Linked DNA regions of Alligator mississippiensis. The protein of the gene in region 2 interacts with the protein of the main gene of each other region in a pairwise test. Links are inferred from orthologs where the notes say so. Each region holds a gene or a part of one and is shown on either strand. Other genes may lie near its edges. The genes, in order: ABHD16A, RNF5 and SLC38A7.

Evidence for each region.
Region 1: the proteins of RNF5 (region 2) and ABHD16A interact in binary tests that used the Homo sapiens proteins (3 or more experiments, as listed by UniProt). The link is inferred for Alligator mississippiensis from reciprocal best matches to the Homo sapiens genes RNF5 and ABHD16A.
Region 3: the proteins of RNF5 (region 2) and SLC38A7 interact in binary tests that used the Homo sapiens proteins (3 or more experiments, as listed by UniProt). The two-hybrid records come from large-scale screens. The link is inferred for Alligator mississippiensis from reciprocal best matches to the Homo sapiens genes RNF5 and SLC38A7.

Annotation. Positions count from the first base shown.
Region 1 is NC_081834.1:57,909,750-57,920,093, forward strand, and holds the start of ABHD16A (phosphatidylserine lipase ABHD16A), read right to left. Parts: upstream 5,487-10,344; 5' UTR 5,439-5,486; coding exon 5,307-5,438; intron 4,619-5,306; exon of another isoform or gene 4,604-4,618; coding exon of another isoform or gene 4,562-4,603; intron 3,693-4,561; coding exon 3,636-3,692; intron 2,723-3,635; coding exon 2,656-2,722; coding exon of another isoform or gene 2,634-2,655; intron 2,151-2,633; coding exon 2,064-2,150; intron 1,523-2,063; coding exon 1,437-1,522; intron 825-1,436; coding exon 751-824; intron 361-750; coding exon 256-360; intron 1-255. Other genes in the region: uncharacterized protein LOC109284092, read left to right, coding at 5,684-5,801, 7,424-7,705, 7,920-8,073, 8,263-8,300, 8,400-8,452. UniProt on the Homo sapiens protein: Phosphatidylserine (PS) lipase that mediates the hydrolysis of phosphatidylserine to generate lysophosphatidylserine (LPS). LPS constitutes a class of signaling lipids that regulates immunological and neurological processes.
Region 2 is NC_081834.1:62,659,439-62,669,782, reverse strand, and holds RNF5 (E3 ubiquitin-protein ligase RNF5), read left to right. Parts: upstream 1-4,418; 5' UTR 4,419-4,968; coding exon 4,969-5,105; intron 5,106-5,467; coding exon 5,468-5,486; intron 5,487-5,596; coding exon 5,597-5,709; intron 5,710-5,791; coding exon 5,792-5,846; intron 5,847-5,913; coding exon 5,914-6,025; intron 6,026-6,518; coding exon 6,519-6,610; 3' UTR 6,611-6,993; downstream 6,994-10,344. UniProt on the Homo sapiens protein: Membrane-bound E3 ubiquitin-protein ligase that mediates ubiquitination of target proteins. May function together with E2 ubiquitin-conjugating enzymes UBE2D1/UBCH5A and UBE2D2/UBC4.
Region 3 is NC_081833.1:39,214,809-39,225,152, reverse strand, and holds the start of SLC38A7 (sodium-coupled neutral amino acid transporter 7), read left to right. Parts: upstream 1-4,273; 5' UTR 4,274-4,362; intron 4,363-6,249; exon of another isoform or gene 6,250-7,166; intron 7,167-8,638; 5' UTR 8,639-8,858; coding exon 8,859-9,125; intron 9,126-9,310; coding exon 9,311-9,509; intron 9,510-9,917; coding exon 9,918-10,062; intron 10,063-10,344. UniProt on the Homo sapiens protein: Symporter that selectively cotransports sodium ions and amino acids, such as L-glutamine and L-asparagine from the lysosome into the cytoplasm and may participates in mTORC1 activation. The transport activity requires an acidic lysosomal lumen.

The DNA.
Region 1 (10,344 bases), about 4.8 Mb from region 2:
CCAGGAAACCCTACCATGATTCCCAATGCAGCATCCTGCACCCACGCCCTTGGCCAATCAGGGGACAGGTCTCAGGACCAACATAGCAAAGCAATCAGCAGCTAGGGATCCCCACCCACACTCCCTGCAGCCTCCCAGGATGCTTTCCCACCCCTCACCCCTCCAAAGGGAAGCCTGCAGACCCCACCCCTTGGCCTGTTGCAGCCAATAGGGAGGCAGGGAGCTCAAACCCCTCCCCTGGGGGGAGGGTTATACCTGGCAATCTGGCAGGGCAGCTTCTTTACAGCATTGAGGAATCCGTTGGCCGTGCTGCGGTGCTTGGGGGGCGGCTGCAGCAAGGAGATCCCCCGCGAGTCTGACCTGGGGAGAGCCAGATGCCTGTGTTCTCAGCTCAGGAAGAAGACGGGGGCTGAGGGACTGGACGCTTGGGTTCTTTACGAGGGAAGTGGGGGCTGGGGGGCAAGAGCAGGCAGGGCTGGGAGCCTGGACACCTGGGTTCTCTCTCACTTCTGGGAACAAAGTCAGGGCTGGTGGGTCCGAGCATCAAGCCAGGACTCCTGGGTTCTCCCCTTGCTCTGGGAAGGGAGTGCCTGGACACATGGGTTCTCTGGGAGGGAGGGAGGGAGGGAGGTGAAAGCAGGGGATGCTGGGAGCCCAGATGCCTGGGTTCCCTGGAAGGGGAGGGCATTGGTGGGTAAAAGCAGGAGGGCTGGGAGCCCGGACGCCTGGGTTCCCTCCCCGCTCACCCACCGGCTGGAGACCTCATCCCAGCGGAAGTCCACGGGCCAGCTCCGGAAGTCAAAGTTGTAGCTGGCGAGTTTCTTCTGTGCACACAGGAAGGAGAATGGTTGGGGTTGGGCATGAGGGGCTGAGACCTCATGCCCCCCCCAAAACTACCCCCCCACCAGCCCCTCCTTGGGAGTGGGTGGGGATCCCTGCTTTGGCTCCACTCCCCTAGCCAACCCCCAACCCCCCCAGACCTGGGTCTGGTTTCTGCCCCTTTAAAAGCAGGGAAAGCTGGTAGCTGCAAGGCATGCTGGGAAAGAGTCCAAAGCACAAAAATGGTTGGGCTGCAAACCATCCTGGGAAACAAGGGGGGGGGGGGGAGTGGTGGGCAGCTGCAAGGCATGATGGGAAACTGAGGCAGGCTTGGCTGTTGTGGTACGGTGAGGAGGTTAGGGTGCAAGGCATGAGGGGAGAAGCGGCAGCTCCCATCATGCCTTGCGGCAAGGCCTGGCTGCCAGGGATGGTGGGGAAGGGGAAGCTGAAAGGCATAACGGGAAACAGCAGAAGGTCATGCAAGACCAGGAGGGGGTGGTGCAAGCTGTGAATGGCTTGGCAGGAGAGGGCGGGGCATGCAAGGCACTGTGGGAAGCAGCAGGGTGGATGGCATGCAGCCTAGAGGTGGAGCCAGAAGCCCGGTCACAGAGCCTCACCTTGATCTCAGGGGTGCCGATGCGGTGGCTGTCCTCCAGGATGGTGATAAACTGGATGTACTGGGGGTTCGTCCAGCGCCCAATCCCTGGGCGGGGAGGGGGTGCAGTTAGATAGGCTGAAGGGTTGTGGGAGAACCCCAAAGTCTGGGCTTCCACCCCACAGACCCTACCCCGCTCCTAGAGAACTCCAGCGTCTGGGCTTGCAGCCCTAGCCCCTAGCATACATCCCCCTCCCGAAGAACCCAGGAGTCTGGGCTGCCACCCCCACACCCCAGCCCACTCCTAGAGAATCCAGGCATCCGGGCTTCCAGCCCTAGCCCACCGGCATTCATCCCCCTCTCGGAAAACCCAAGCATCCGCGTCCCTAGCTCTCCCTGCTTCCACCCCGCAATCCCCACCCCCTCCTAGAGAACCCAGGGATCCGGGCTCCCAGTCCTAACCCCTCACCCCCCAACATCTTCCCAAAGAACCTGGGTGTCCGGGCTCCAAGCCCCACTCTTCTCCCTGAGCTGGGTAGAAGGGACCCCTGTCTCCCAGCCTGCCTCCCTTGCCTCCGGAGCTGGGAGAGAACCCAGGTGTCCAGGGGGCGGGGGTGTAGCCCTTTCTTACCCACAAGCCCCCACTCACCTCTGAGGCAGGCGACACCGGCCAGGAGGAAGAGCATGGTGGCAGCGTAGTGGGAGAAGGGCACCACTTTGGACATGGTCAGGTAGCCTGGGGGGGAGGGTGGGGGCGGGGGGAAGGGGCAGAGGAGAGGGCGTCATGGCCAGGCCCCCGACGTGCCCAGCTCTGGGATGAAACAACTTCCCTGATATGCCCTGGCCCCTTAAACAACCCCAACCAACCCCCCTGGCTCCCCCTACCTGCCCCTTCAACCTACCCCCCAACATGTTGGTGCCCCTTAGTCACCCCACCCCCTCATTTATCTGCTCCCCACCCCTCTACCTGTCCCCAGGTCCCAGGAGCCTGCTCTTCCTGACCTCCCCACTTGCCCCCCAAGCCTCCTACCCCCAACTGATGCCCTCTACATGGACCTTGCCTCCCCTAGATCCCTCCTGTGTCCCCTAAATGCCCCCTCAAGCTGTATCTTCCCCCCCCACCTGCCCCCACAATAGCCCCTACCTGCTCCCCTAGTACACCCCCACCAGCCCCTCCCCATACCCCATATATGCCCCCTGCCCTCCACAAGCCCCCTACCTGCCCCCGCAGTGCCTCCTACCTTTCCGGTACAGGTAGAAGAAGGCCAGCGGGGAGGTGTAGTAGGAGATAGACCAGAGCACCGAGGCCTGCAATGGGACCAGACATCAGAGTCAGTGCCGGACACCTGGGTTCTCTGCAATCCAGGGAAGGGGTGAGGGCTGGGAGTCCGGACACCTGGGTGCTCTGGGAGGCGAGTGGGAGCTGGGGGGTGAAAGCAGGGGGGGGATGGAAGCTTGGGTTTTCTAGGAGGTGAAGAGGGGCTGGGGGGCCAGCACGGGTGGGGGGGGGGCAGCGGCCCGGATGCCTGGGTTCTCAAGGAAGGAGGCAGGGGGTTGGGGCAAGGGCCCAGACACCTGGCTTTTCTGGGAGTGGAATGGGGGCCAGGGGCTGAGAGCCTGGACACCTGGGGTCCCTCTGCAGGGAAGGGAGTGAAGCCAAGCTAGCTCAGTGCACGGCCAGGACACCCGAGTTCTCTGCCCAGTTCGAGGAAGGAAACAGAGTCTGCTGGGTTACAGCAGTGGGCGCTGGGAGCCCAGACACCTGGGATCCTCTCCTGGGGGGTGAGGGCAGGAGGAGCTGAGAGCCCGGATGTCTGGGTTCCCTCCACGCTCTGAACAGGATTGGGTCTGGTGAGCCAGAGCAATCGAGGCTGGAAGCCTGGACGCCTTGGTCATCTGGAACAGGAGAGGGGCAGGGCGGGGAGCCCGGATGCCTGGGTTCTCTGGGAAGGAAAAAAGGCGTGGTGGATTCAGGCAGGACAGGGGAGCATGCTGGGAGCACGGACGCCAGGGGTGTCTTTCCGCTCTAGGGGACAGAACCGGGGGCCTCAGGGACTGGAGCAGAGATAAACATGTTTGTGCTGCCAGGACTGCTCCCCTGGGCAGGGCCCAAGAAGGGGAGGAGCCTGGACACCTGGGTTCCCTGGAAGGCTGGGGAGGGGGGGGATGGGGAGCCCACATGCCTGGGTTCCCAGCCTCCCCCAGAAGCAGAGGAGCTCACCAGGGCCAGGATGCTGTCCGAGTGCTTCTCCAGGCTCCGCGGCTGGTAGTACGAATCCTGCACGGAGAAAGTCTCCATCACCCCAAGACTTGGGAGGGGGTCAGTGCCACAGGTGGGGAGTGGGGCATGCTGGGAAATCAGCCAGAGGGGCACAGTAAAGCCCTTGGCTAACAGCGAGGGGGCAGTGCAGGGCATTATGGGATGCAGCAGCCGTTCTGGGGTGGCCAAAATGGAGTCACGCTAATGGTCACCTCATGGTCAGGGACATGGTGGCCATTGTGGCGATGCCATGGGGTCACATCAAAGGTCACCTCACCATCAGGGTCATGGTGGCCATTGCGGTGATGTCACATGGGGCGCATTGGCCATGGTCTCGCGTGCACAGCACCTGTATTGCCCCCTGCCAAGGCAGGATCACGACAGGTTACAGCGGAAGCCAGGCCAATCCAGCCCAACCAGGCGGGCACCACGGTGGCCAGGGCAATGTGGGCAAACTAGGAAACGCCACCACCGCCATCTTGGCCAGGACGCCCACCTTGGCTTGGCTGTTCTGGTCATGCCAGCTGAGCCCCATTGGGGAGGGTGGGGGCGGGGGGAGGCAATGTCTGCCATCTTGGCAACACCAGTCATGCTAACCCACCCCCTACTGTGGCAGACTGGTAGCAAACTTGAGAATCACACCACCACGGCACCTCCCCCTGGGTCGAGGCCCTGACTGCCATCTAGGAAGTCGTGCCAACATGACGTCCCCACTAATAGAGGGGCCCCGGCCGCCATCTTGGGGGTTACGCCAACCCGGCCTTGCCAGGCTGGCGTCATAGCACTAGGGAAGTAATACAGGCCAGAGGGGAGGACGGGAGATACCATATGAGGTCCTGGAAGGGAAACGTGTCCCCCTCTACCCACTGCTTCTACAATGGTCTCACCCAGAGGAGTATCAACAGCTTCCTGAGGGTGAGGCGTACCATGCAGGAAACAGGAGTGGGAGCACCCCTCTTTTCTACAATGGTTCGTCTCAGGGTAGTAGCAGCAACTTGATACAAGGACTGCAGGGCTGCACAGAACAGGGTGGGGAGATACTGTTAGGGGGAAATATATCCCCTCCCCCACCCCCATAGCCTGATCCACTGGGGGAGGGGGAAATACCATCCAGAAGAGCAATCATGCTCTCTGCCCCTCAAGTTCCTGCCCCCTCTTTCCTCACAAGGGTTTGTCCCCAGATAGCACTATCCTAGGGGACCTGGATAAGGAGAAGTGGAGAGGAAGAGGGGCATAATTGTCCCCTCAACTCCATAACCCCACTTTCTAAAATGGTCTCTTTCAAGAGGGGAGGGGTCACTTGGGGGGCTCATAGAAGAAGGAAGTAAGGGGTAACAGAGTCTCCCTTTCTTGTCCAACATGGTATCGCCTTAACGGGCATCTAGACGCGACGACTGGGAAGGTCCCATCACGGCCACGCAAAGACACATTCCGCCCCTCCCCCCCATCATGGTACCGGCCTAACGGACATCCAGACCCAGCGACTGGGAAGGTTCCACTAAGGAAAAAGGGGGCGTGCCCCTGAACGGCACCCCTCTCCAGGCAATGGTCTCGTCCGAACTCCCGTAGAGAGAGGCAGTCGGGAGATACCACTTCTCCCCCGCGGGGGGGAGGGTTAAAAACGGCACTCACCCAGGAAGACTCACGGGAGGCTGGGGACCCCTCGGCAGCCTCGTCCCCATCCTGGGGGAGCCGTGCGGGCCCCCGTTCCCTGTAGACCCGGTAGAGCCGCGGCCCCAGCACGCAGCTCAGCAGCTTCGCCATCTTGGGCCGGACCAAGCCGGGTCGGAGACCGAGCAAAAGCGCCACTTCCGGGTTCTCTACGGGGTACCGGAGGTAGCCAAACTTCCCTCAGGGGTTATGAAAACGCGTTTTCCCGGCGTCCTGGCTGCGGGCTTCTCTCTCCCCCTCCCACCTCCCTTGTTAAAGAGCCAGGCACCCATTTCTGCCCTTCTTCCATTGGAGTGAAAGAGTCGCCATCTTGGCCAACTGGGGGGTGGTTACACCACATGGGACACCAATTAGAGGCAACTGGGAGAAACTGGTGTGCACAGGACAGCCATGTTGGCCTGGTTCTAAGCTGCTCAGGGTTGGCAATACAGCAGCCATCTGGAGAGTCACGCCAAGGTGGGGTGGGATCTGTGGGGTCGCTGAACAAGGGTGGGGTGGTCAGGCCAACTGGGATACCACTGGAGGGCAACTGGGAGACACTGGTGGGCACAGGGCGGCCATGTCAGCCCTAGGGGACTCACACCAACTGGGCCACTCAGTGTTGGTGACACACCGGGCATCTTGGAGTCACATCAAGGGGGGATCTGAGGGGTCACTGTACAAAGGTCAGGCCACCTGGGACACCAGTGGGAGGCAACTGGGAGACACTAGTGGGCACAGGGCAGCCATGCTGGCCTGGCACTAGGGGTGCACACCAACTGGGCCACTTGGGGTTGGCGATACAGTGGCCATGCTGGCGTTAGGTCATGAATGGGCACCATTTCCGAGCCGCCATGCTGGAGGTAGGTCAAGATGGCGTCTGTGGGGCGTGGCAGCCATGTTGGTGCCACTATGTTGGAGTTAGGCCAAAATGGCATGTGTGGGACATGGCAGTCATATTGGTGTCGCCATTTTGGAACGGCATCAGCTAGGTGCCTCAAGCCTGGGGCGGCTGTTACTCAGCCGCCCCTGGGGTGGAGAGGCAGCATGCCAATTGTTTGGGCAATGCTAAGTGAAGGGGAACTCATAGGGGAGCGTCTGCTGGGATGCCTCTATGTGAAAAGAGCTCCTCCCTGCCTGAGTTGCGGCTGGCTTGGGGGAGTGTGGGGTGGCTTGGGCTGGGTATAACGGGCGAGGAGCTGCAACTGGCTCTGAGGGGGAGTAGGGGTGGATGTAATGGGGGTAAAGGCTGTGGCTGGCTCTGGGGTGGAGCAGGGCTGGGTATAACAAGGACAAGAGGTGCAGCTGGCTCTGGGGTGGAGCAGGAATGGGTGTAACGAGGACAAGAGCTGTGGCTGGCTCTGGGGGAACAGCTGCTTTGTGTCACTTCCTCCACACATCCATCCCTGTGGGATCCTGATAAGGTCCCTCATCCTTCTGCTGCGTCACTCCAGACATGGCTCCAGCCTGACCAGCTCCTGGCGCCCTCCCCTGGGTCACACCCTGCATCCCCGAGGAGATGCCGGCAATGGGGGCAGCCGTAGAGCCCTTCTGCCTCCTTCTCCTGCTGCTGAGACCCACCATGGAGGGAGGTAAAACCCTTCTGTCTGTTCCACCCCAGAATCAGCTGCACCTCCCTGTATAACCACGTTCCACCCCAGAATCAGCTGTGTCTGTGTTTCTCCCCCATTGTACCCCAGAATCAGCTGCATCTCACCCTAGAATCACTCACATGATCTATGTTCCACCTCAGAATCAGCTGCATGTCTGTTTGCAACCATGTTCCACCCGAGTCAGATGTGTCTCTGTGTATGACCACGTTCTACCCCAGAATCAGTCAATTTTGCTGTGTATAACCAAAGTTGCCCCCAGAATCAGCCACATCTCTGTGTACACTCAGCTGTTTCACCCCAGAATCAGCCACGTTTATCCCCTTTCACCCCAAAACCAGCCACATGCCTGTATATAACTGCTTCACCCCAGAATCAGCTGCATCTCTGTATATACTCAGATGTTCCACCCCAGAACCAGGCGCATTCCCAGTGCATAACCACATTCCACCCCCGAATCAGCTGTGTCTCTCCCTTTGCTCCCACCAGAGGTCTCCGTGGCTGTGGGGGCTTCGGTGGAGCTGCCCTGCCCTGTGCAGCGCCACCTGGGGGCCGGGGAACAGCTGTTGTGGCTGTATCGCAACAATAGCCTAGACCTAACCGTGGCTCAGCGACTCCCAGCTCCGGGGCTTGGAGGGGACCAGGACCGGCTCTCCCTGCTCCCCAGCCAGTCTCTGCTGCTGCGAGAGGTCCAGGTTGGGGATGCTGGAACGTACTGGTGCACGCTGGGGGGAACGACAGTAACCGGCTACGAGCTGCGCGTGGTGGCAGGTGGGTGAGCGTTGCAGCCCCAGGTGGGGCAGGGTGCCTGGGTTCCCCGGGAGGGGAGGGGAGGCAGGGGGTGGGTGGGTGCTGAGAGCCTGGTTCCCTTGGGGGTGAGAGAAGTGGAAGGTGGGAGCCCGGATGCCCAGGTCCTCCAGGAGGGCAGTGGGCCCGGGAGTCTGGACACCTGGGTTCCTCTATCCTGCTCTCCCGTCTTCTCCAGTACCGGGGTCTTCCCAGTGCCCCGAACCCCAGAGCCGGGATCCTGGGGTCTGTGACACCCTGTGGGCTCCACTGGCTGCCTGTGTTGCTGTGGAAACCCTCCTCCTCCTCGCCATGGGGGCAGCACTGTGGAGGCAGAGACACCAGGGCCGCAGGTGAGGGGCTGGCAGCCTGGGTTCCCTCGGTGAGAACAGGGGCCTTGGAGCCCCGATGCCTGGGAGGGGAGCGGGTGTCTGGACTCCTGGGTTCTGCGGGAGGCTGGTGGGGCCTGTGGTTGGAGCAGGGGGGCTGGCAGCCCGGATGCCTGGGTTCTGCACCCCTGCTCATTGCCTCTTCCCCTGCAGGGCGGCACCTCCAGCCCTCTTGTTTCAGGCCCCGCCAGGTGAGTGCTGCTCTGGTCCCAGTTCCCCTCCCTTAGTGGGTGAACTGGGGGCCCTCCATCCACCACATTGAGCTAACAAGCCCCCCCACTGTCTTGCAGGCCCCCTGGAATCTAAGGGTGAAGCCAGCCTCTACGAGAACATGGGGGCCTGATGGCCCCTCCCGGGGGCGGGGTTCCACCCACCTGGCCACACCCCCAGCACTAGCCCTGCCCCATCAGAAGCCACACCCCCATGCCCAGCTCCATCCCCTAAGCTCACCCCTGTGAAGGCCCTACCCTTAGCTCCATCCCTTCCCAGCCCTGCCCCTGCCTAAGCCCCACCCCCAGTTGCAGCCCCTCCCATCTCTGCCCCTTGCTCAGACTTTTCCTTCATTTGAAGGCCTGCCCCACCCCAAGCCCTACCCCTCAGAAATCCCACCCCAGAACCCTCCCCTACTAAGCCCCACCCCTTCCTGAAGCCCCCCGCCCCCCCACTCCTCATCCTCAGCCCCTCCACCCCAGTCCCTCTCAGCTGCCCCCTAGAGGACCCATCCAACCAGGCACAGTCCCACTGGGAAGGGCTGGGGCAAGGGACCCTGGTGTCTGGGTGCGCCCTGGGCAGGGTCTGGGGCAGGCGCTGCGAATAAAAGCAGCAACTGGGAACTGGTGGCTGCAGCTTTGTGTCAGGCCAACAGGCGCGCAACCCAGGCATCTGGGACACACATGAGCAGGGAACCCAGGCATCTGGGACAGCTCCCCCTTGCCCCTCCCCTCATATCCAGGCCTCAAACCACAGTATAATCAACACAGCCAGTGGTGATGTGCCTCCCCACGAGCGCCGGCTGGGGAGTGGAGTGCCGTTTCGCTCCCAGAAGCAGCCTTAGCCATTCCCAGAAGCTGACTAAGGCAGCACCAGTCGCCCATGAACACAGCACAGGCCTGCTGCATCACCCCAGGGCTGCGGGTTGGGAATGAGGGACACCAAGGCGTAGGGGGCTGAGGGTCGAGAGTGGGGTGCACCGGCAGGGCGGGGGCAGGGGCTGCGGGTCTGGAGTGAGGGGCACTGGGGGGGGGGGGGGGCGCATGGTGCTGTGGGTTGGGAATGAGGGACACTGGCAGGGCTGGGGGGAGCAGGGGCTGCAGGTCTGGAGTGAGGGGCACCGGCAGGGCTGGGGGAGCAGGGGCTGCCTGGGTGGGGCAGGAAGCCAAGCAACTCTGTCCAGATGCTGCAGTCTGGGGAGAGGAGAATGAATAAAGCTACAGAGGAAAGAGAGAACGATGGGATGGATGAAGGAAGGAATGGGTGAATAAAGCCATGGAGGAAAGCAGGAATGGCGAAAACCAGAGAACTCAGATGAAGGGAAGAAAGAACAAAGGACAAAACTAACAGACAAAGCCACAAAAGAAAAGAGGAACAAAGAAGCAGCAGAGCAGATGACTGAATGAAGGGGAGAATGAATGAGTGAAGGAATGAATGAGTGGGGGGAGACAATGGATGAAGGGACAAGTCAATGAATAAACTCACAGAGGAAAGAAGTAATGAAGAAGGCTGAATGGATGAAAGAACAAATGGATGAAAACAGCTGTGGAGGAAGGGAAAGAAACCAGAGTGAACAATGACGGGAAGAAAGCCTGAAAGAAGGAATACATGAACGAACAAAGCCACAGAAGAAAGAATGAATGAACAAAACCCAGAACAAACATGAGAATGAAGCAGAGAATGGGTGAAGGAATAAATGAGTGCATAAATGCATGGAGGAAGAAAAGGAAAGAAAAAAGCAGAGCGAATGGCTAAAGGAAGGAAGGACCAAGTGAATGAGCAAAGCCACAGAAGAAAAGGAACGAAGGTGAGAATGAATGGATGAACAAATGAACACACAGGAATGAACAAATGAAAAAAGTCAGAGTGATTGAGTGTATGAATGGAGGAAAAAAGAACAAAGGAAGGAACAAATGAATGACTGAACAAATGAGTGAACAAAAAACCAGAGCGAGTGAATGACAGAAAGAAAGTGAGGAAAGAATGAAGGAAGGAAGGAACAAATGAATGTACAAACCCATAGAG
Region 2 (10,344 bases):
TTCATGTGTTGGACAAGTACCTCTATACTGCTGGTGTCTGCTCACACCCTGCATGTGTGTGTGTGTCACATACACACATGCCAACCAAACCTATGCTATCCGCATGTGCTCACACTGTGTGTGTGTGCATGCACGCATGTGTGAGTATAACAAGCAGAACTTGGCAATATTTCTTTGCTGCGGGTGTAACAGGTAGATCAATGCTATTAGTGTTTGCACTGCCCAAACCTTGTGTGCATGTGAGTGTGCAACACACCCAGTGTACCGAGCTCTTTGCTCAAACATGCTGTGTGCATTGTGTGCGTGTGTGTACGTGTCTGATAAACAGAACTACACCATCAGTGTTTGCTCATAGCATGTGTGACACAAACCTGCACTAGCAATGTCTGCTCAAAAACTGCGTGTGCAGGCATGTAACAAGATCTATGCTCAATACTTGCTCAAACACTTGTGTGCATATGTCCAAAATAAATACTAAGCTACACTACTTGCTCCATGTGTGTGTGTGTGTGTGTGTGTGTGCGCGCGCGTGCACGCACGTTCAATAAGAAGACCTATGCTATCAATGCTTGGTCAAAATTGTGCATGTGTGCAACATACCCACACAGTGTAGAGCTACGCTTTGCTCAAACATGCTGCGTGAGTGTGAAACAAGCATTTCTCTGCTACTTGTCAAACACCGTGTGCATTTGCGTATAACAAGCAGTTCTATGCTCATTGCTTGCTCAAATGCATGTTTGTGTGCAACACACACTATTTACTCAGTGTGTGTGTGCATGCATATAAGCAGAACTATGCTATCAGTGCTTGCTCAAACACTCATGTATACACACACCTGCAGCATACTGTTACACTACCATTTGCACGCACACACACACACACACACACACACACACACACACACAGTGACCATGTGTCCACAACACACACACACACACACACTGGACCAAGCTACACTATTTGCTCAAACCCACTGCATGTGTGCATGTACACATGCACAAGTGAGTGCACGTAACTTTGTACGCTAGTGCAACTGTGGCAGAGCAAGTACATATCACTCACTGCATGCAAAACAATGTTCTCAGTACACGTGGTTATTCACACACGCACACATGCACAGCAAACCGAACCCTGCCCAAGCCCTGTGCATGTGTCAACATGCCCAGAGACACACACCTGCCACACTCCGACCCGGTGCCACACACACACCTCCCTGCCGCAGGGCTGGAAGTTCCCGACACACATGTAGGCGTGCACACGCCTGATCTTCCACCCCACCCTGCACCCGAGGGGGGCCTTGTCCCAGACTCAACCCCAGCCTGGGCCTGACAACTGCAGGGGGATAGGGGCCATGGCAGCACACATGGTAGGCAGGTGAACACATGCACATGGTGTGGATTTACACACACAGCTATGGCATGGGCCGTGGCACGCACAATAGCAAGCCACAGGGAGCATGGGAAACCTGTATGCATGCACAAACACACACAAGAACACAAATACACGCACATGCCACATACACAAATGAATACACTCGTGCACACACAAATACGCACGTGAATACACACACACACACACACACGTGTGAATGGATGGACACATGCACAGAATCCAGGCATCCAACACACACACAGAACCCAGGCACCCAGGACACACACGAGTACACATATATGCATGCACATGCCAGCATATACACATGCACACACAAATACACAAACAAGTACACATTCACATCTGCATGTGAATAGACACACACACACAGAACCCAGGCACCTGGGATACACATGTAGAGGCCTGTGCCCCACACAACCATCACACACACTCACACAAGACTTGTACTTCCCAGCACAGTGCTCCACATCCCTCACATGCCATTACCATCACACACATACACAGACACAAACACACACAACGAGGTGAGCATTGTACCCCCAACAACACCCAAGCATCACACACAGAGTACCCTAGGCCCCACATAACTATCTCACACGCACACAAATTTTACCAAGCACAGTTCCCCACAACTCCCCACTACCATCACACACCCCCCGAGAACTGTACCCCACAACACCTTACAAGTATCTGTCTGTCTCACATATACATGCACACACATGCACGCGTGCACACACACACACACACAGTGGCCTGTACTGCACACAATGGCTCGCAACAACACACACACACACACACACACACACACACACACACAAACTGTACCCCCAGCACTGCACCCCACACACCCCTACCATCACACACAAAAGTGAGAAGTGAACCCTGTGCAACACCCCACAAGCATCTCTCTCTCTCACACACAAATTATTGCTCCCCAGCACAGTACTCCACACTACCCATAACACTCTGCTACCGTCACACACACAGGTGAAAATTGTACCCCTCCACAACACCCTACATCACACACACACACACACACACACACTGCCCTGTGCCCCACACAGCTGCTCACAACCACACACACACAAGAACTGTTTCTCCCCAGCGCACACAGAACCCAGGTGTGGGGATACATACACACAGGTGAAAATGATACCTGCATAACACCCTGCAGGCTTCACACACGCACCAACTGTATCCCCAGCACAGTAACACACATTTCTCCCAACACCCTCCTACCATCACACACACATGCAAACCTGAATCTCATGCATACGTGCATGCACACAGAAGTTGTGCCCCCCCAGGCACACATACCCAGTGCCCCTCACAAGTGCCTGCAACTATCACAGTTGCACACATGCACAACCCCACATCCCTCACAACCCATTACACACAGACACACACATGAAGGAGTAGCCATCACAAACATGTGCAAGTCAGACCCCTCTGGATGCACACACACACATGAACACAACACCCCATGACCCTCAAAGGCACTCATGGTTACCACAGAACAATTGTAACCCCCCCGTGCATGCGCGCGCGTGCACACACACAAACACACACACACACAACCCAGGCATCTGGGACATGGACATACACCTGTCAGGCACCCTGGACACAAATGTACACACACAACCATGGCACCCTGAACACACACACACACAGAACCCAGATTCCAGAACAGGTGCACGCACGCGCACACACACACACACAACATACAGGCATCTGGAACACACACACACACACACAACCCATGTGTCCAAAGCACACGTGTGCACTCATACACGCACAGAACCGAGGCACCTGGGATACGTGCTCACACATGCACACACCACAGGGGTCCAGGTCGCCCAGACCCCACTGGACCCCACGTCCACCCGAACCCCTGAGCCCTGGAGCTGGGGGGGGAGGGGGGGAGCAGGACCAAACCATCGCTGCAGGGGAGTAAAGGGCTGCCCCTGCCAAGGCTGAAGCAGGGTACCACCAGCCCCCCCCCCGCTCGGGGCAGCCCCTCCCCCACCCCGAACACCCCCCTTAGCCCCCATCCCCCAGGGTCCCCCCCCTCAGGCCCCCCCAACCGCAGCCCCCCATCCATCCACCCCCGCACCTGGCCCCGGGTGGTGCGGGTGGGGGCGCTCAGGGCGGCGGGCCGGGCCGGGCCATGGCGGCAGAGGATGCTCGGGGAGGGGGGGAGGGGGCGGAAAGGGGCGGGGCCTCACACCGGAAGCCGGGGGGGAAGGTTGGGGGGAGGCGGCCAATGGGGCCCGCGCGCGCGCCTGCCCCCGGACCCCGTGACGTCAGCTCCCTCCCGCGTGCGAGCCCCGCCGCCCTGCCACGCCCCTCTACGGACCCCCACCCCAATGGGCCCCGCCCCTTCCCCACGCCCCGCCCCCTCCTGTTGCCCCGGGGGCGGGGCCTGGGGCTGCCTCGGTTGCCATAGAGACGTGGCGGGGGGGCACTCGAGGGACACCCAGGAGTGGGGGGGTGCCCAGGAGAGGGGCAGTTGCCATGGTTACCGTGGCCCCCCAGTGACCGTTGCTATACCAACGTGGCAGGGCGGCCAGTCGGGCCCCAGGGCAAAGGGGGACTGCTGCCATGGCAACGTCGTCACGATGGCGACGAGGCCAGGCCGTGGGGGAGGGTTGCCAAGGTGATGGAGGGTTTGGGGGCAATAGCAAGCAAGGGCAGTCGCCATGGTGACACAGCAGGGGTGCAGTTGCCATGGTGACGGGGCAGGCCCGACCAAGGCCAAGTGATGGTTGCAGGAGTGACAGGACTGGTTGCCAGGGGCGGGGGGTGGCGGTTGCCGTGGTGACGGGGCTGGCAGGGACAGACTGTGGTTGCTCCAGTGACAGGGCAGTTGCCATGGTTCCAGGGCGGCCATTTTGCCTCGGTCTCTCCGGCCGCTGACCGCACCTCGGGCTTCACAGCGGACACGTGTGCCCCGCCCCCACCGGCCTTCTTAGCCAATCAGTGGCCTTTCCCTCGCCGCCCGCTCCTCCAATCCCTTCCGCAGTCCGGAACCGTTATGGGCGAGGATTGGCCTAAACGCTTGTTAATTACAATTACTCCCCCTCAGCCAATCAGTCAGCATGACAGAAAGAATCCAGGCCAATAGAATCCTACATGTCCCTGGGGGTCCCGCCTCACTTATGGCTACTAATAATTGGATTATGGAGCTGTTCATTCAAAGTTTCTCCGCTCCTGCCCGCACCTTACCCCGAAGCGACCAATCACGCGTCGTTTACTCGTGATTGACGGGAGCCGGCACCCATAGGAAGCGGGTGAATATCCTACACGCTGAGAAGCTGGGACCCAAGCCGCAGTGACCAATGAGCGTGAGGCAACGTGTGATGGACAGCAAATCTACCCAGTCAGCCACTGGCAGAGGCGTGTCCTCATCTGGTGGTAATGCCAACTACCCTCCCGCCAATCATATTCGCCAGTTTCCTTGAGAGGCAGCGTCACCGGCCACTGAGCGGGGGGCGCGGCTGATTGGCGGCCCCGCTGGCCAATGGGACCCTTGAGAAGGAAGGCGGTGGCATTTCCCCTCCGGGGGTGGGGCGGAAGATGGCGGCCGGGACAGGCCCGGGGGTCCCCGATGGGGGCCCCGAGGTGCCAAACCGCGACCGCAGTGCGTTCGAGTGCAACATCTGCCTGGAGCCCGCCCGGGACGCCGTGATCGGGCTCTGCGGGCACCTGTACTGGTATGGGGCGGGGCCGGGTGGGGGCGTGGCCTGGGTGGGGGGCTCTCATGGGGTGGGGCAGGGGGAGGGGCCTAGCTGTGGGGGAGGGGAGGGGCCTAGGGAGGGGGCGGGGCGTAGCTATGGGTGGGGGAGGCTGGAGTGGGGGTGGGGCTGGCGCGAATGGGATGGGGGGAGGAAAGGGGTGGGATATGGTTGGGGGTGGGGCCGGGAGGACGGAGGCGGGGATCGGATATGACTGGGGAGTGGTCTAGTGGGTGGGGGAGGGGCTTAGGGTGGGGGAGGGGCTAGCATGGGTGAGTTGAAAGGGGGGGGCCTCAAGGCCCACCCCCATAACACTCCCCCCCCCTCCACACACCTTGCAGCTGGCCCTGTCTGCACCAGGTGAGTCCCTCCCTCCCCCTCGTCCCCCACCGCCCCCGGGGCATGATGTGGAGCAGGTGGGGGAGTCGTGGGGGGTCCCTCACCCCCTCTCCTACCCCCCACGCCGGCAGTGGCTGGAGACACGGCCAGAGCGGCAGGAGTGCCCCGTGTGCAAGGCAGGCATCAGCCGTGACAAGGTCATCCCCCTGTATGGCCGTGGTAGCGCCGGGCAGCAGGACCCCAGGTACGCAGGGTTGGAGGGCATTTACAGGGCAGGAGGCACCTGGCTTCTGCCGCCCTGATGCCCCATCTCTGCCCCTGCCCAGGTTGAAGACCCCTCCACGGCCGCGGGGCCAGCGCCCGGAGCCTGAGAGCCGTGGGGTGAGTGAAAACGGCCACCTGCCCTTCTTTTGCCCCCTCACCCCCAGCTAATACCCTGTGTCTGCAGGGGCCACCACCGCCTGTCTTCCCCGACACTGGCTTCCACATGGCCTTCGGCATCGGCGCCTTCCCCTTCGGCTTTTTCACCACCGTGATGCGGGGCCCTGACGCACCAGCTGGTAAGAGACCCCCTGGCACCCCAAACCCAGGGTCCTTGCACCCTGTTTTGGGCAACCCTTATGCTGGCAGACTCCCACGCCCTCCCCACCCCAGGCTGAGCTCCCCCCACATCAGGATGACTCCCATGGACCCCCCGGGGCTCCCCTACCCCATCCCACACATGCCCATGGGCCCCCTTCTGAGTACCCCCACATGCCCCAGGCTCCTCTCCACCCTCCACCCACCCTACACTGGCACTAGTCCCCCCCCGCCAGCCTTCCCCTCCTCAGTTTACAGCAGTGGGGGCAATTATTTTGGGTGGAGGGCTGCTTACTGAGTTTGGTAAGCCATCAAGGGCCACATGACAGGCAGCTAGGGGCAGATAAATATTAATTTTCTAAATTTTTTAGGGGCACCATGGGCCGGATAGAATGGCCTGGTGGGCTGTATCCAGCCCACAGGCCACATTTTGCTCACCCCTGATTTACAACATCTCTCTCCTCCCCCCCCCAGATGCAGCTGCTGGCCCCCGGCCCTCTGGCTGGCAGGATTCGCTCTTCCTCTTCATTGCCATCTTCTTCCTCTTCTGGCTTCTCAGTGTCTGACCCCCCCCCTCCCCTCCAACGCACCCCTGCCATGGACAGGCAGGGGTTAACCCCTGGAGGGTGGGGCTACAGTATTCTAGCAGGGTTTCCCCTTTGCCCCTCCCCCATGCGTGGGGGCATGATGTAGTGGCCAAGGGGCAGGACTTGGGGGGTTCCCTAAGGGCTAATAGGGGGGAGGGGCCAGTTCAGGGTTGGCCTCTGCTCTCCCCAGTGATCCCCTGCTGGCCGGGCCAGGCCCTGGTGCTCCCTGCACATGGGGTGGGGGGAGAGAGGGCAGTTCTGGGGCATCTGTGAGTGTTTATGGGACAGGGCAAATCAGGGTGACCCCACACCCCCCCATGGCAGGGGGACCAGGGGTGTCATTAAAGCACTGGTGATTCGTACCCTGGGGTATCTGGACTCTCATTAGGGGAATGAGGCGAGAGCAGATAAGACCCCGGGCTGCGGGCTAGGAGTGAGAGACACTGAAAAGGGCAAGGGTAGGATCTACCATAAGTTGTTCCCCTAGGTCTGGGAGTTTACTCTGGACCCCACTACCTGTGCCCCCCTGGGGGGAGTCACTGAGATGGTGAGGGGTTCCCTTGTTTTGGGGAGATGAGGTGGCTGGTTGTGGGGTCCCCCCACCCCAGGGAGCCAATCCAAAGCCATGGAACAGCCTCCCGCACCTGGAAGAAATATATTTTATTACATAAGCCAAGAAAATACAACCAATGGGGGGTAGGGAGCCTCCCGTGACCCCCCGCAAACAACTTAGAGGGTCTGTGCCCCCAAAAACTAGGTGCTATTGGCTGCGGAACCCACAAGACCTCAGCACAGCCAGCGAGGCCTACACCCTCCACTGAAGCCTGCTGTGGAGTGAGGCACTCTGGGCATGGGTGTGCAGGCTGGGGGGGGGGCTAAGGACCCTTTGGTGTCATGCTTGAGGAACCCCCCACGCAACAGCTCATGTTTCCTCTCCCCCCACCCCCCAAAACCCATCCACGAGCCACCCAACGATGAGCTCCAAAATGGCCACCCTCATAGAAGCCTCCTGAGCCAGTCTTGAAAGGGAGTGGGGGTGTTTTGTTTTTAAGTATCAATAAGAAATATAGTGGGGGGGGCAGTGCAGAGTGCACCCGTCTCTCCCTCCCGCAGGGGCATTCTGGGCCAGCGCACAAAGGTGGTGGAGCACATGGCAGGGGCGCTAGAGCCACTGTGCCCAGCCCAGTTTGGGGGGCAGGGGCTAAGCCCCACCCTTCTGCCCCCTATGGGCTGGGGGTGCTAGGGGCAGTTCCCAGACCTGCCCCCCCACACTTAATTGGATTTTCCTAATTAAGAAAACATGAATAATAAAGAAACAAAAGCCTGCCCCACACCACCCCCACCTCCAGTTCCAGGACCCCTGACCCCTCACCCCAACAGGAAGTGGGCACCCTAGGGTGGGACTCTAGGAGGCGGTGTTGGGGGCAGGGGGGCACTCGGGCAGAGGCAGAAGACTGAAGGCTCCGGGTGCCGGAGTCTAGCATCTTTGCTGGCTGTCTTGGCACCTGGTGGCTGCCGTCTTGGATGGACCCTGCAAAGAGATGCCACCTTTGCTCTCAGTGGCCTCCCTGTTGGATTGAACCCCCATGAAGACACCATCTTGGTTCCCGATGGCCAAGATGTTGGCGCTGCCATCCCAACCAGGCAGCCCTTCCCCCTCTGCCCCCTCCCTACCCCAGATGGAGGGGGAGGGGAGGGGTTAAGCCCAACTCACCCTCATCAGGCCGAGGGGATGGCACAGACAAACTCCATCTATGGGGGAAAAAAGGCTGAGATTTGAGGGTGCCCCACCTTAGAGTGAGTTCCTCCCCCCATCCTACAGGGAGGCCTGAACCAGACAGAGGGCAGGCACTGGGGGCAGAGCCTGAGCTCAGGCCCCACCCCTACCCCTCAATCAGCCACCATGGGCCTGCCCCCACATCCTGTGGCCATACCTTTCCAATCAGGCCCCAGCCCCATGACTTCATGCCCTCTGGCCCCACCCCTCAGCCAGGGCTAGACACCCAAGCCCCATGGCCCTGCCCCCTCGATCCAGGCCATGCCTCTCAACCTCCGCTACACCCCAAGGTCCCTGGCCCTGCCCTTCACTTTGGGCCACACCCCCAAGCCTTGTGGCCCCACCCACCTGCCTAGGCCATGTCCCAAAGCTCCTGTACTCCCTTCACCAGGGCCCAGTCACTCTACCCAGACCCCAGCCCCTCTCCTATAGGCTCCACCTCTCTACCCAGGCCTTGTTCCCTGGCTGTAGGTCTCACCCACACCTGCGAAACATGATGCCACAGTGGGCAGGCAGCTGGTCCTTGGCCCTGCACTGGGGCGGGGCTGTGACCTGCTGGGTGAAGCTGTGCTGCATCTGGCTGCCAGGACACACAGGGTCAGGGGTCAAAGGTTTGGGGTTATGGCACCAAGCATCAAGGAAACAGGAGTGGGGTTAGAGTATGGGGGTCAAGGGAGATCGCAGAGGTCAAGGACCCCAATAGCCTTATGTGCTTTGGGGTGGGGGTCAGAGGTCAAGGGCAGTCACTGGTGTGAAGGAAGCAGGAGCAAAGGCTGATTACGGCTTCACCGGTGCTTTGGGGAGGAGTCAAAAGTCAGGGAAGGGGGTCCAGAGATAGAAGGTCAGACTGAGGAGTCAGAGGGTCATACCCGTCACCAAGGAAGCATGGTGATGTCCCCACACAGGGGACAGGAATTAGGGACAGGGTGGGGTCCAAGGTCAAGTAAGGCCTGGAGTCAAGGAAGCAGAAGCAGAGGATCCCAACAGCCTCACAGGTGCTTTGGGCTGGGGGTCCAGAGTGAGGTCAAGGGTTGGAGGTCAAGGTGAAGACAGACTAGGGGGGGTTACACAGATATAGCACAGGGCATCCAACCCCACCCTGGCCTTCAGCCCCATGCCATGCTCTTGGCCCTGCCCCCTCCTGCCAGACCTGCCCCCCAACCCATATCCCCACCCCCAAGCCCTGTAGCTCTACCCCTTCCAGCCAACCCAAACCCCTTCTGCCACACCCGCCCCCTCCCTTCTAGCCCCACCCCATCCACCCAGCCCAGCCCACATCCCTGCCCCCCACTGCCCCTTCTAGGTCCGCCCCCTCTGGACGCAACCCTAGGGCTTCACCCCCTCCCACAAGCCCCCCTCCTGTCCCAGCCCTGTAGCTCCAGCCCCACCCCCAGCCTCATAGATCCACCCCCTCCCAGCCCTACATTCCCTCCCCTCCCCTCCCCTTCCAGGCAGCCCCACCCCCAGCCCATAGCCCCACCTCCTCCAGCAAGCCCTGCCCTATCCTTGTAACTCCAGCCAGCCTTGCCAGCCCTATAGCTCCACCCACTCCAGCCAACCACGCCCACCTCCCCATGGCCCCGCCCACCTGCTTATATTTCTCCAGCTCCCCCAGCTTGTAGTGGGGGAAGGGGTTAACAGTGCCCCTCACTCCCAACTGTGGCAGGGCACTGTTGGTGCCTGCCATTTTAAGAGTGGAGCCAAGAGGGCAGCAGGTCCTTGGTTGTAGCAGCCACTTTAGGTCTTCAGTCACCCATATAAACAGAGCGGTTCACTGCTGGCAGGCCAGGCAGTAACATCACCTGGCTGCAAGGCTGCATGCAACATCCTGGAGGCAAAGGCAGGAGCTGTAGGGGATGGTCAGGAGGCTCCTGGTCCTGGGCATGACCTAAAACTGCACCCTGCCAGTGGTGGGCGGCCTGGTGGGGCTCTCAGT
Region 3 (10,344 bases), on a different chromosome or scaffold from region 2:
GGGGGGGGGGGGGGGGACAAGGTCTCCCAAACCCCACTAGTCCCCCCCCCCAGCAAGTTTTAATAGACGGCCACCAGGTTCCCCCTCAGCCTTCTCTTGCAAAGGCTGAACAGGTTAAGGTACCATAGCCTCTCCTCATAGGGTCTGCCCTGCTGTCCCCAAATCATGCAAGTGGCCCTCCTTTGGACCCTCTCAATGCTGGCCACATCCCTCCTGAAGTGCGGCACCCAGAACTGGACACAGTACTCCAGCTGCAGCCTGACCAGTGTCACATACAGGATGAGGATCACCTCCTTGGCCCTGCTTGTGATGCATCTGTGGATGCAGGACAAGGTACAGTTAGCCCTACTGACCGTGTTCTCGCAGTCGGCCCATGTTCATCTTGGAGTCAATAATGACTCCAAGATCTCTTTCTGCTTTTGAAAAGGGAGTTCCCCAACCTATAGGTATGCTGCTGGTTCCTACTCCCCAAGTGCAGCACCCTGCACTTCTCAGTATTGAATTCCATTCTATTTTCATTTGCCCACCCCTGTAACCTGTCCAGGTCCTGCTGTAATCTGTCCTTCCCCTCTAGTGTGCCCACTTCACCCCAAATCTTGGTGTTGTCTGCAAATTTAAACAGGCTCCTTCTTACCCTGTCGTCCAAGTCGCTAATGAAGAAACTGAACAGTGTGGGCCCAAGGACTGAGCCCTATGGGACCCCACTGCCCATTTCCCTCCAGGTTGAAAATGACCCGTCCACCACCACTCTCTGAGTACGACCCCTCAGCCAATTTGCAATCCATCTGACTGTGTAGGCATCAATGCCACAGTCACCTGTTTTTTTTTAATGAGAATGAGGTGGGAGTGTCAAAGACCTTCCTGAAATTCAGAAAGACTACATCCACCGCGACACCTACAGCCAGTGACTTTTTTTTTTTTGGGTGACCTGATCGTAGAAGGCAATTGGGTTGGTATGACAGGACCTGCCCCTAATGAAACTGTGCTGGTTGCGCTTGAGCATCATCCCCGCTGCTGGCCCATCACAGATGTGCTGCTTGATAATCTTCTCAAACAGCTTCCCCAGGACTGAAGCAAGACTAACGGGCCTATAGTTGCCCGGGTCCTCCCTTTTTTTCCCCATTTTTTGAAGATGGGGACCACATTGGCCCTCTTCCAATCATCTGGCACCTGGCCAGAACACCACAAGTGCTCATAAAGCCGTGCCAGGGGCCCCACAATAACCCCTGCCAATTCCCTCTCCACCCTGGGGTGGAGAGCATCTGGACCTGCTGACTTGAACGTGTCCAGCCCCTCCAGAAGCTCTCTAACTCAGTCCTCCCTGACCCTAGGTTTGGCGGAGTTTCTCTCGAGTACATCCTGAATATCGGTAGGGGAGTCCCGGTCCCTGCACAAGAAAATAGAAGCAAAGAAATTGTTAAAGAGGTCTGCTTTCTCCTCTGGTGTGACCACCAGATTGCCAAGCATATCCTGCAGGGGCCCCACGTTACCTGGGGCCTTTTTCATGCTCCCTATGTATTTAAAAAAGGACTTTTTCTTATCCTTGATGCTAGCCCTAGTTCCATATCTGCCTTAGTTTTCCTAATAGCCCCCTTACAGACCCGAGCGGTGGAGGTATACTCCTCTTTGGTAATAGCCCCTCCCTTCCACCTGGTGTACGCTTTTGGCAATCGGGCATCTACAAATGCCCTTGGTAAGCCAGGGGGGCTTTTGGGCACTCTTGCCCCCCTTGCTTCTTGTTGGGATTGTCACCCCTTGGGCTCTGAGTATCGTCTCCTTAAGGAACGACCACTCATCTTGGGCACCCAGTTCCTCTACTCTCCAGGATCCTAGTGCCTCCCCCACTAATCACCTCAGCTCATAGACTTTAGGAGGGCCAACTTCAAAGGCTACTGCCTTGCTGCAGGCCCTTGGCACCCCGCGCTGGATGGTGAATTCCAGCAAGCAATGATTGCTATCGCCCAGGTGGTTGAGGACCTGGAGCCCGCTTACCAAATCATTGCTTGTGGCCAGGACCAGGTCCAGCAGGGCATTCCCCCTGGTAGGACTGTGAACCTCTTGGGTTAACTGGAGGTCCTCTATCTCAGCCAGGAACCTCCGTGAGTGGTCAGACCTGGCTGACTGCTCCTCCCAGCAGATGTCTGGGTAATTTGATTACCCATGACAATTACATCCCTTGTCTTAAGTGCCTCCACAAGCTGAGCCAAGAATTCATGGTCCAGCTCTTCACTTTGCTTGGGAGGTCTGTAGTAGACCCCCACTGTTAAGTCCCTTTCCCCATGACACCCCTGTATGTGACTATCAGAGCACTTCAGCCTGCCCCTCCTATGACCCCATCCTGCTGGTTGAGGATGTGTATTGCTCTTTGACATAGAGCACCACACCCCCGCCTTTTCCTCCCTGTTCTATCCTGCCTGTATAGTCTATAGCCCTTAATGTTGACCGCCCAGTCGTGGGATGAATCCCACCAGGTTTCTGTGAGCCCTACTATGTCTGGGGATGTGTGCAAGGAGGGATCTGACTCCCGCCCCATAGACGAGCCACTCGCAGCTCCGTCCCAGACCCCACACTGCTGCAGCTGAGCAGCATCTGCCCCAGCCACACTCCCTTCCTCACCCTGGAGGCCTCGATCTGTGTCCCCTCATGCCTCTTCCCCCACACCAGACTTACCAACCAGATGCTGGTCTCCAACTGGCCAGGATGTGCTCCTGGGCCGGTGCATGGTGCAGCTGTGCACGTTCATGGGGCATTTATCTGCTACATTAGTGGCCACATCAGGCAAAAAAAAAACCCAAACATTTCCAATACTTTCAATTTTCCCTATAGCGGTGCTGATCCAATATGGGACCAATGTATTGGTGCACCTCTGCTAGGAACTTCAGGGCAAGCCACCATTGCAATGTTGGTGAAATCCAGTTCCTGCTATTCACAAGGGCACTTTTCAGGGATGGGCTGTTCGAGATACATGCAGAGAAAATATCACGGCCACTCCTGGAACACAGGCAAAACTATACAGAGGGTTTGTAGCCATGGCTGAATGAACTTGCAGGGTCAGGACTCTAGTAAAACAGGCTCAGAGATTGATAAAAACCAACAGGATGCCTGGAGAATAAGATGACAAAGCTGTTTCTCAAGGCCGCTGAAACTGAACAGCCCAGGGCCTGGTTTTCTAGGATTCTGCTTGTGTTGTTCAGATCAGTATTATACAAGCGTAGAACAGCATCAGCTGGGTGCAGTGTAATTTTACAGTCACAATTTGTGCTAGTATTAGAAGGAATCTGGCCCAGGGATGACAGAGCACCAAGGAGTAGCACCAAGGCATGAGAGCTGCTGAACACTTGAATCTGGTATTGAAATGAATGAGAAATACAGACGCTCAGGGCTCTATTTGCCAAACCCCAAGAGTCACTGTATGGAAGCCAAGGGATGCACAATTAAAATTGGTACATTTGCAGAACCCAGCATTTGGTTTAGAAAAATATTTCCCCTCCATTATCCTGCCTTTGGGCTCAAGCCAGGTTCCCTACCTACTCCTCACCTTCTCCGCCAACCTTTGTTCATGACCTGATCCGAACATGTGATGTTTGCACTGAGTTGCTTGGCTCCAAATACCAGCAGAATTCTGAAAAGGGGGACGCAAGTGGGGAGGGGCATCGCCACATATACCACAATGCATAGGTTCTTTCCAGGTACCATGAATGAGGGGCTTTACTGACATGCTGGGGGCCTCGGGATGGATTATCCAGTTTAACATGGAAGCCAAAACACAAAGAAGCTTGAATCAGCTCAAAACAATCTCCAGGGCTGGGAAACAAGAGCTTCCTGACCACGAGCAGCTAACAGAGCACAGCTGTCTGTAGGACAAAGAGTGCCTTGATTGGTGGAGCATCAAGACCAGTAAAAAGGAGAAGGGTGCTGAGGAATGAAGTTTGGAAGGGATCAGGCCAAGTCTATTGAGCCCCGAAGTCAACGGACTAGCTATGCTGCTGCCACTCCAGGGCAATTTAAGCTTTGGCTGGATCCGCTCCTGGTCTCTCGTGTCTCCCATCCGCAGGATCACACATCACAGGAAAGCAGGGCTGGAAGGTACCTAGCCCAGGCCCCGCTCACAGCAGGTGCATCCCTGACTAAACCAACCGGCCTGCCCAGCCTGCTCTCGAGCGTGCCCCAGGACGGGGCTGTGGGACGCGGCGCAGGCGCAGGCAGAGCTCTGGAGCCCACGGCTTCCCCCAGCGGGGGCGGGGCGGGGCGGGGCGGGGCGGGACTACGCTCCCCAGCCTGCAGCGCGCGGGGCCGAGCCGCCGGGACCACGTGAGGCTCCAGCTGCTCTCAAAAGAGCCGGAGCCGGCGCCGGTGTGGGAGGTAAGAGGCGGTTGTGGGGGCCTGCTCTGACCGTTGGCGGAGCTTTCCGCGCATCAGGGGCTCTCCCCGGGCCGCAGCTTCCCAGCTCCGCGGGGCGCCGGGAAGGACGCGCGCGGCTGGCGAAGGGGCAGGGCCGCTGGCAGGGGGTGTCCCGGGCAGCAGCAGGCCTGCCTGGGCGTGGGTGAAGGGCCCTGCGGTGCCCTCCGGCCGGGCTGTGTCCTGTCGCCCAGCCCAGCGAGACCACCCGAGGCGGAGTCCTGGGCTAGGGGCAGGCCTGTGACAGCGGCTGCTCTCCGGGATCCTCCGCTGAGACGAGGCCCACAGTGCCTCTGGCCTGGCTCCCAGCCTAAGCAGTGGTTCTGCCCTTCTTTGGACTAGGACCCATTTGTGAACATCAATGGCCAGTCCTGACCCAGTGGCCCTCACTCGTTTAAAGGAGAATCCATTTCTGACATTTGTTCCCAGCCCTTTCCTATATTCTTGCGACCCACCTTTGGGTCACAACCCATGGGTTGAGAAATGCTGCTCTAAGGGACCAATGCAACGTGCTTCAGAGGGAGGGCTGAGCCCATTTAGTGCACCAGGCAGGCTAAACCATGTTCTGCTTAAGGATTTCCCAGGCTTTGGGGCTCCTGTGCCCTCTTTCTGCTACATGTGTCAGGGTGATTTTAAGCTTTCCTCAGAGGCATTGGATGTTGGTGGCAGCCAAGCCTGGGGACTTGTGCCAGTGCTCCTGTGGGGACCAAAGCTGGAGGTTCCTGGCTAGAGGGGCTTGTCCTTCTGCTCGGGGTCTGACCAATTGCCAGATTTGGAGCTCAGAAGGAATTCTACCCTATGCTCAGATTGGTACAGACCATGGGGGCTTTTGCCTTCCTCTCATGAGGGTCATGGCCCTCTACTCAGCGTCTCTTGAGCATTTATTGATGACATTTCACAGAAGTAGGATGTTGGCTGCCACAGTTCTGCTTTACTTGTGGCAGGTTAGGGTGTTAGGTCTATGTCATATCAGGGTTGATGGTTGTCTGATGTAAAGTTTAGATTATGGTTTGTATGGGATGGTTTGGATAGGGATGATACTATTTTAGGCAGGGGGCTGGACTAGATGACCTCTGTAGGTCCCTTCCAGCCCAGCTTCTATAGGATTCTGTGAGTTTAGATTGTACTAGAAGTTGTATTTTGAGGGTTTATATCAAGCAAAACTAGTTTGGTTGAGATGGAGAACACGTTCCCTTACCTCCATGATCTGCCCGTCTGTTAGTGTGGCCTCTACAGTGCATCAGTCGGCTGAAATCAGAGTTCAGGTGTCCACCCAGGGCTTCTATACAGTTCAGCTTACCTGAGCATTCCTGTCTGTAACCAGTCACCTGGCTCAGAACAGGATGTCTCCTCTGAAGAATCGGGAGCCATTAGCAGGGTGGGTAGAGACACACCTGTTTATTTGATGACTGTGCTCTGTTTTCTTTAATCCTGTGTTGTAATGCTGATGTTGTACCGTTAAGTTCTCTTACTGGGTTGCACTTGCAGTTGGGCCCTGGATCTAGGCCTGTTAATGCTTTGGTTTGAATTGATGCACAATAGAGTAGACCTCAGTCTACACCCTCATTTCTTTGTTTTCCCTTTTCCAGATCAGAATTAAAACAAGCTTAATTAAATGTGTGCACCATAGAGCTGTCTCTGGCACCACTTGGTGTCATTACTGCCCTGAGGTGGAAGGAGTAGAGTATCAATGATACCTCACCTTAGAACAGTGGTTTTCAACCTTTTTTTCATGTGTGGACCCCTAAAAATTTTTCCGTGGAGGTGCAGACCCCTTTGGAAATTTTAAATGGAGGTGTGGACCCTAGTGAACTGTAAGTGTGGGTATTCATGTACTTTCTATTGATCATGATAATCTTTTGCAGATCTCTTGGATGTAATCTGTGGACTGGTCCTCTTTTTCTGCCAGGGGCAGGGTGTCAGACACAATGATCCTTTGTGGTCCCTTCCAACGATACAATCTATGACTCCCAGGGGTCTGCGGACCAGAGCTTGAAAACCACTGCCTTAGAGTTAACCTAGGAGTTGTGCATAGCAAGACAGATGATGATGACAACCTGAAGTCCCCTGTGAAGCTCTACCTCTTCCTGTAATGAGGAAACACAGTCTAGCTTCATAATTTGGGGAACCTGTCCACACTGTGAGTGTATGAGCTGTTTCTGAATAGCTGTCTGTAAATATCTGAACATTCACCCTTAGGATTAAAAATTGTGTGAGAGTTTGGATTTATGCCTTTTTGCTTAGCAATTATTTTTCCTGCTTTTTAACTTTAGGGAATTCCCTTCTTCCACATTTTTTTTGGAAATCACTTGGGAAGACCCACAGCACTGGAATGGATACTTGTGCTAGTCTGAGAGTCGGGTTGAGAAGTTAATTTTCTCACAGAGATATCTTTCCTTTCGGCTGCTTGTCAAGAATTTGATTTAAAGATATTAACAAAATCCATAAAGACTCATACAGCTCCCACACCACTACTTCTCATTTTTTTTAAATCAAGTTTTGCTTTCACAATGCTTTCAGTGGAAGAGTGTCTGTGAAAAACAGGGAAGAGAAGGCCTGTCTTCTAAGGGTAGAGGACCGAGGAAATTGTCTCTCCTCCTCTGTTTTCCCTTTCTATTTTGGGTGTCCCCTTTAAGCGTTGATTGTAGTTCATAGTAGCCTCTGGCAGTGGTTCTCAACAGGGGTGTGGCTTTGAATGTCTCCTATGGAGCAAGATCAGGAAACAGCTGTGACTGAGGAGCTGTGGGATTGGACCAGGAAGAGCTGTGGTAAGTGTGAACTCCAGCCACAGCCCTTTGCACTGCCTGGCTGGAAGGAGCAGCATGGGCTGTGGAGCTGCCATTTGCACTGCCCAGCTGGAGAAGCTGGGTGTGGTGACACCTGGGGCAGGCAAGACCATCCTCCCCCCACCAAAAAAAACCCTCCTTACCACAGGGGTCAGAGGAGTTTTTCCCAGAGCACAGAACTCTTTAGTAACCCTGCACCTGCCTGCTTTAGGTTTATCAGAATATCCTAATACTGGCAGGAGCATGCTGCAGCACTGATTGAGAAGCATGAAGATGAGCAGAGGCAGGACAACAGTGGTTCTCAACCAGGGTGCAACCAGACTCAAAGAATTCGTGTAGGGTGCCCTGACTCTAGAAAGGCTGAAAACACCTGGTTTGTTGGATGATTTTATTAGATGTCTATCTGAGCCACAGAGGTCAGGACTTTTTACAAAACCTGGCTGTGATTTTTAGGGTTGGAGAAGGGAGTCACTTGTTATAAGCTCGAACTATTTGAAGAGGCCTATGTGCTATTTTTATAGCAGTTCTTTAAATTATGATCTTTTATGCTTGTTCTTATCTCAGAGGTGTTTTGGTCAGGTTTGCTGAGATAGGTATGGAAATCTGTTGTTTGTTTCGCCAGATAAAAAAATGTCCCCTCTGTCTGACTGGTCATTCCAACTTCAAGTCTTTCCCTGAACTTCGCCCCACAGGAGCAGGCAAACTCTTGCAGCACTTGCAGAAATTTGGGCTGGAAATAAGGAAGTTGATTTCGAAATGCAGCTGTTGTTTGTGTCAGCATCAGGTCTGTGATAAGGCACTAACTGCACAGCCTTGGAGACTGAAAATATGTTAATCCACAGAATAATTGCAGTGCAAGCTGTCTCTTGTGTCCATGGTGCCTCAGTGCTGACTGACAGTCAGTCTTCTTCCTCTGTCAGTTCAATCTACTAGGACAACTCTTGTGGCTTGCACAATACGGACTTCTAGGACCTGAGCTGAGACCTACTAGACTTGTCTCACATAAGCCAGTTATAGCAGTGCTGGGTTTCTTGGCTCGGGCAACAGAGGCTCCTGCTTTAAGATCCAGTGATCCCAGGTTCGTTCCCTGCTGCTGGCTGCCCACCCATGGGTGTAGTGTAGAGGTTCCCAACCACCTGGCTGTGAAGGGTTGGCTGCTGGGTCATGGCATGAGCTTTAGGCGGCGGCAGCTCTGCCATCGGCTCAGCTCCCCAGGTGCATTCTGCCCCCAGCTGCATTCCCCTGCCTGGCCCAGCCCTGTGGCCCCTCACTACTGCTGGTCCACGGTATAAAAAAGGTTGGGAATCACTGGTGTAGTGTTCCATTTTAGTGAAGGGTGTAGTTGTGTAGAGGCTGATGGAGTACATGGGCAGTCTGGATTTTGGGGCCAGCTCTGACTGGCATGACTTCCACATGCACTAGGTAGTGATGCTCTTCCCTTTGTCCTCTTCTAGGTGCAGTGAAGTGGTCTGTGCCTGGTGCCCCCCAAGATGGTGCCCATAACAGGAGAATGAATCTGACTGCCTTGTAACTCCTGGGATGCTGGACCCTAATGGGAGTCAGCATTATAGAGTGGTGCTTGTTCTGACTGCAGACTTGGCACAGTGCTGAAGTGCTGAAGAGACACAGAGGGGTGTTAGTGTTGTGCTGGTTGGCCACTGCACAGCAAGGGAAATGGCTCAGTACAATGTGGGGATCAACAGTGAGTTCAGAGACTGGGAGTGGAGTGCGGATGCCGGGGAGCGGGCAAGGCTGCTGCAGAGCCCCAGTGTGGAGACTGTGCCCAAAAGCAGTGAGGGGCAGGAACATGGCACAGGGGCCACCTCCACCCTGGGAGCCATCTTCATTGTGGTGAATGCTGCCCTGGGTGCCGGGTTACTCAACTTTCCTGCAGCCTTCAGCACAGCAGGTGGAGTGGCAGCGGGGATCACGCTGCAGATGGTGAGAGGAGCTGCATGGGGGGATATGGGCACCTCTACAATAGATGAGACTGGATCATGTGGGAGACATGTTAGAATGTGGTCTTTCTTGCCAGCCCTGGGCCCTGTCATGGTGCCTCAGCCTGGGAGGGATGGGTGACAGGGGCTCTGGTATCCAGCACTCTGACTGTTCCCATCTTCTCCCAGTGCATGCTGGTTTTCATCATTGGAGGCCTGGTCATCCTGGCCTACTGCTCACAGGCCAGCAATGAGAGGACGTACCAGGAGGTGGTGTGGGCCGTGTGTGGCAAGGTCACTGGCGTGCTCTGTGAGGTTGCCATTGCTGTCTATACCTTTGGCACCTGCATTGCCTTTCTCATCATCATCGGGGATCAGCAGGATAAGAGTAAGTACCTGGGGCCTGCTGTGCCTGTCTCTGGGAATGGGGTCCTTGTGAGTGAGAATGAGAGGGCTTGTGTCCCCTGGTAGTAGCTGGGCCCTGCTGTCCCTGAGAGCTGGGCTGAGATGTCTCAGCATTGGTCTGTGTCTCCACTTGCCTGAGGATAGGATAGTGCTGCACAGAACTGATTTCTGTGGCCCATCTCAACTGTCATGAAAGCTCACAGTAGATGTATCTCTGCTGGGCCCCAGGAGCTTACATTTCCTGTCCAAGCTGCCTTTCTTCCAGCAAGCCCAGCCTGGACTGAAATCTCCTTTCCCTGCCCTCTAGCCACAAAGAAGATGGTCCATGCAACTTGGCATTGTGCTTAGCTGTTCCCTGACTGCTTGATTCTGTCCTTGTCTCCTCACCTAGTCGTTGCTGCGTTGATGACGGATCCAGAGGGGGCAGACAGTAGCCACTGGTACACAGATCGCAAGTTCACCATCAGCATCACTGCCTTCCTGCTGATTCTGCCCCTCTCCATCCCAAAGGAGATTGGCTTCCAAAAATATGCCAGGTGGGTGGGGAGAGCTGGACTAGGATTGATGTATGAGAGGACACAAAGGGAACAGGAACCAGGTGTACTTGACTTGGAGCCTATGACCAGCACGTTCAGCAGTGCTCTCAGAGGCAGTGATCTAATGAGTAGGGCACTGACTTGGAACTGGGGAGAGCAGGGCTCTATTCCCAGCTTTGCTAGTAACTTCTGTGACCTTGGGCTGATCCCTTCTCATCTGCCTTACTTTCCTCACTTGTAAAATGGGGACATTAAAGTGCTTTTAGATGCTTAAATGAAAAG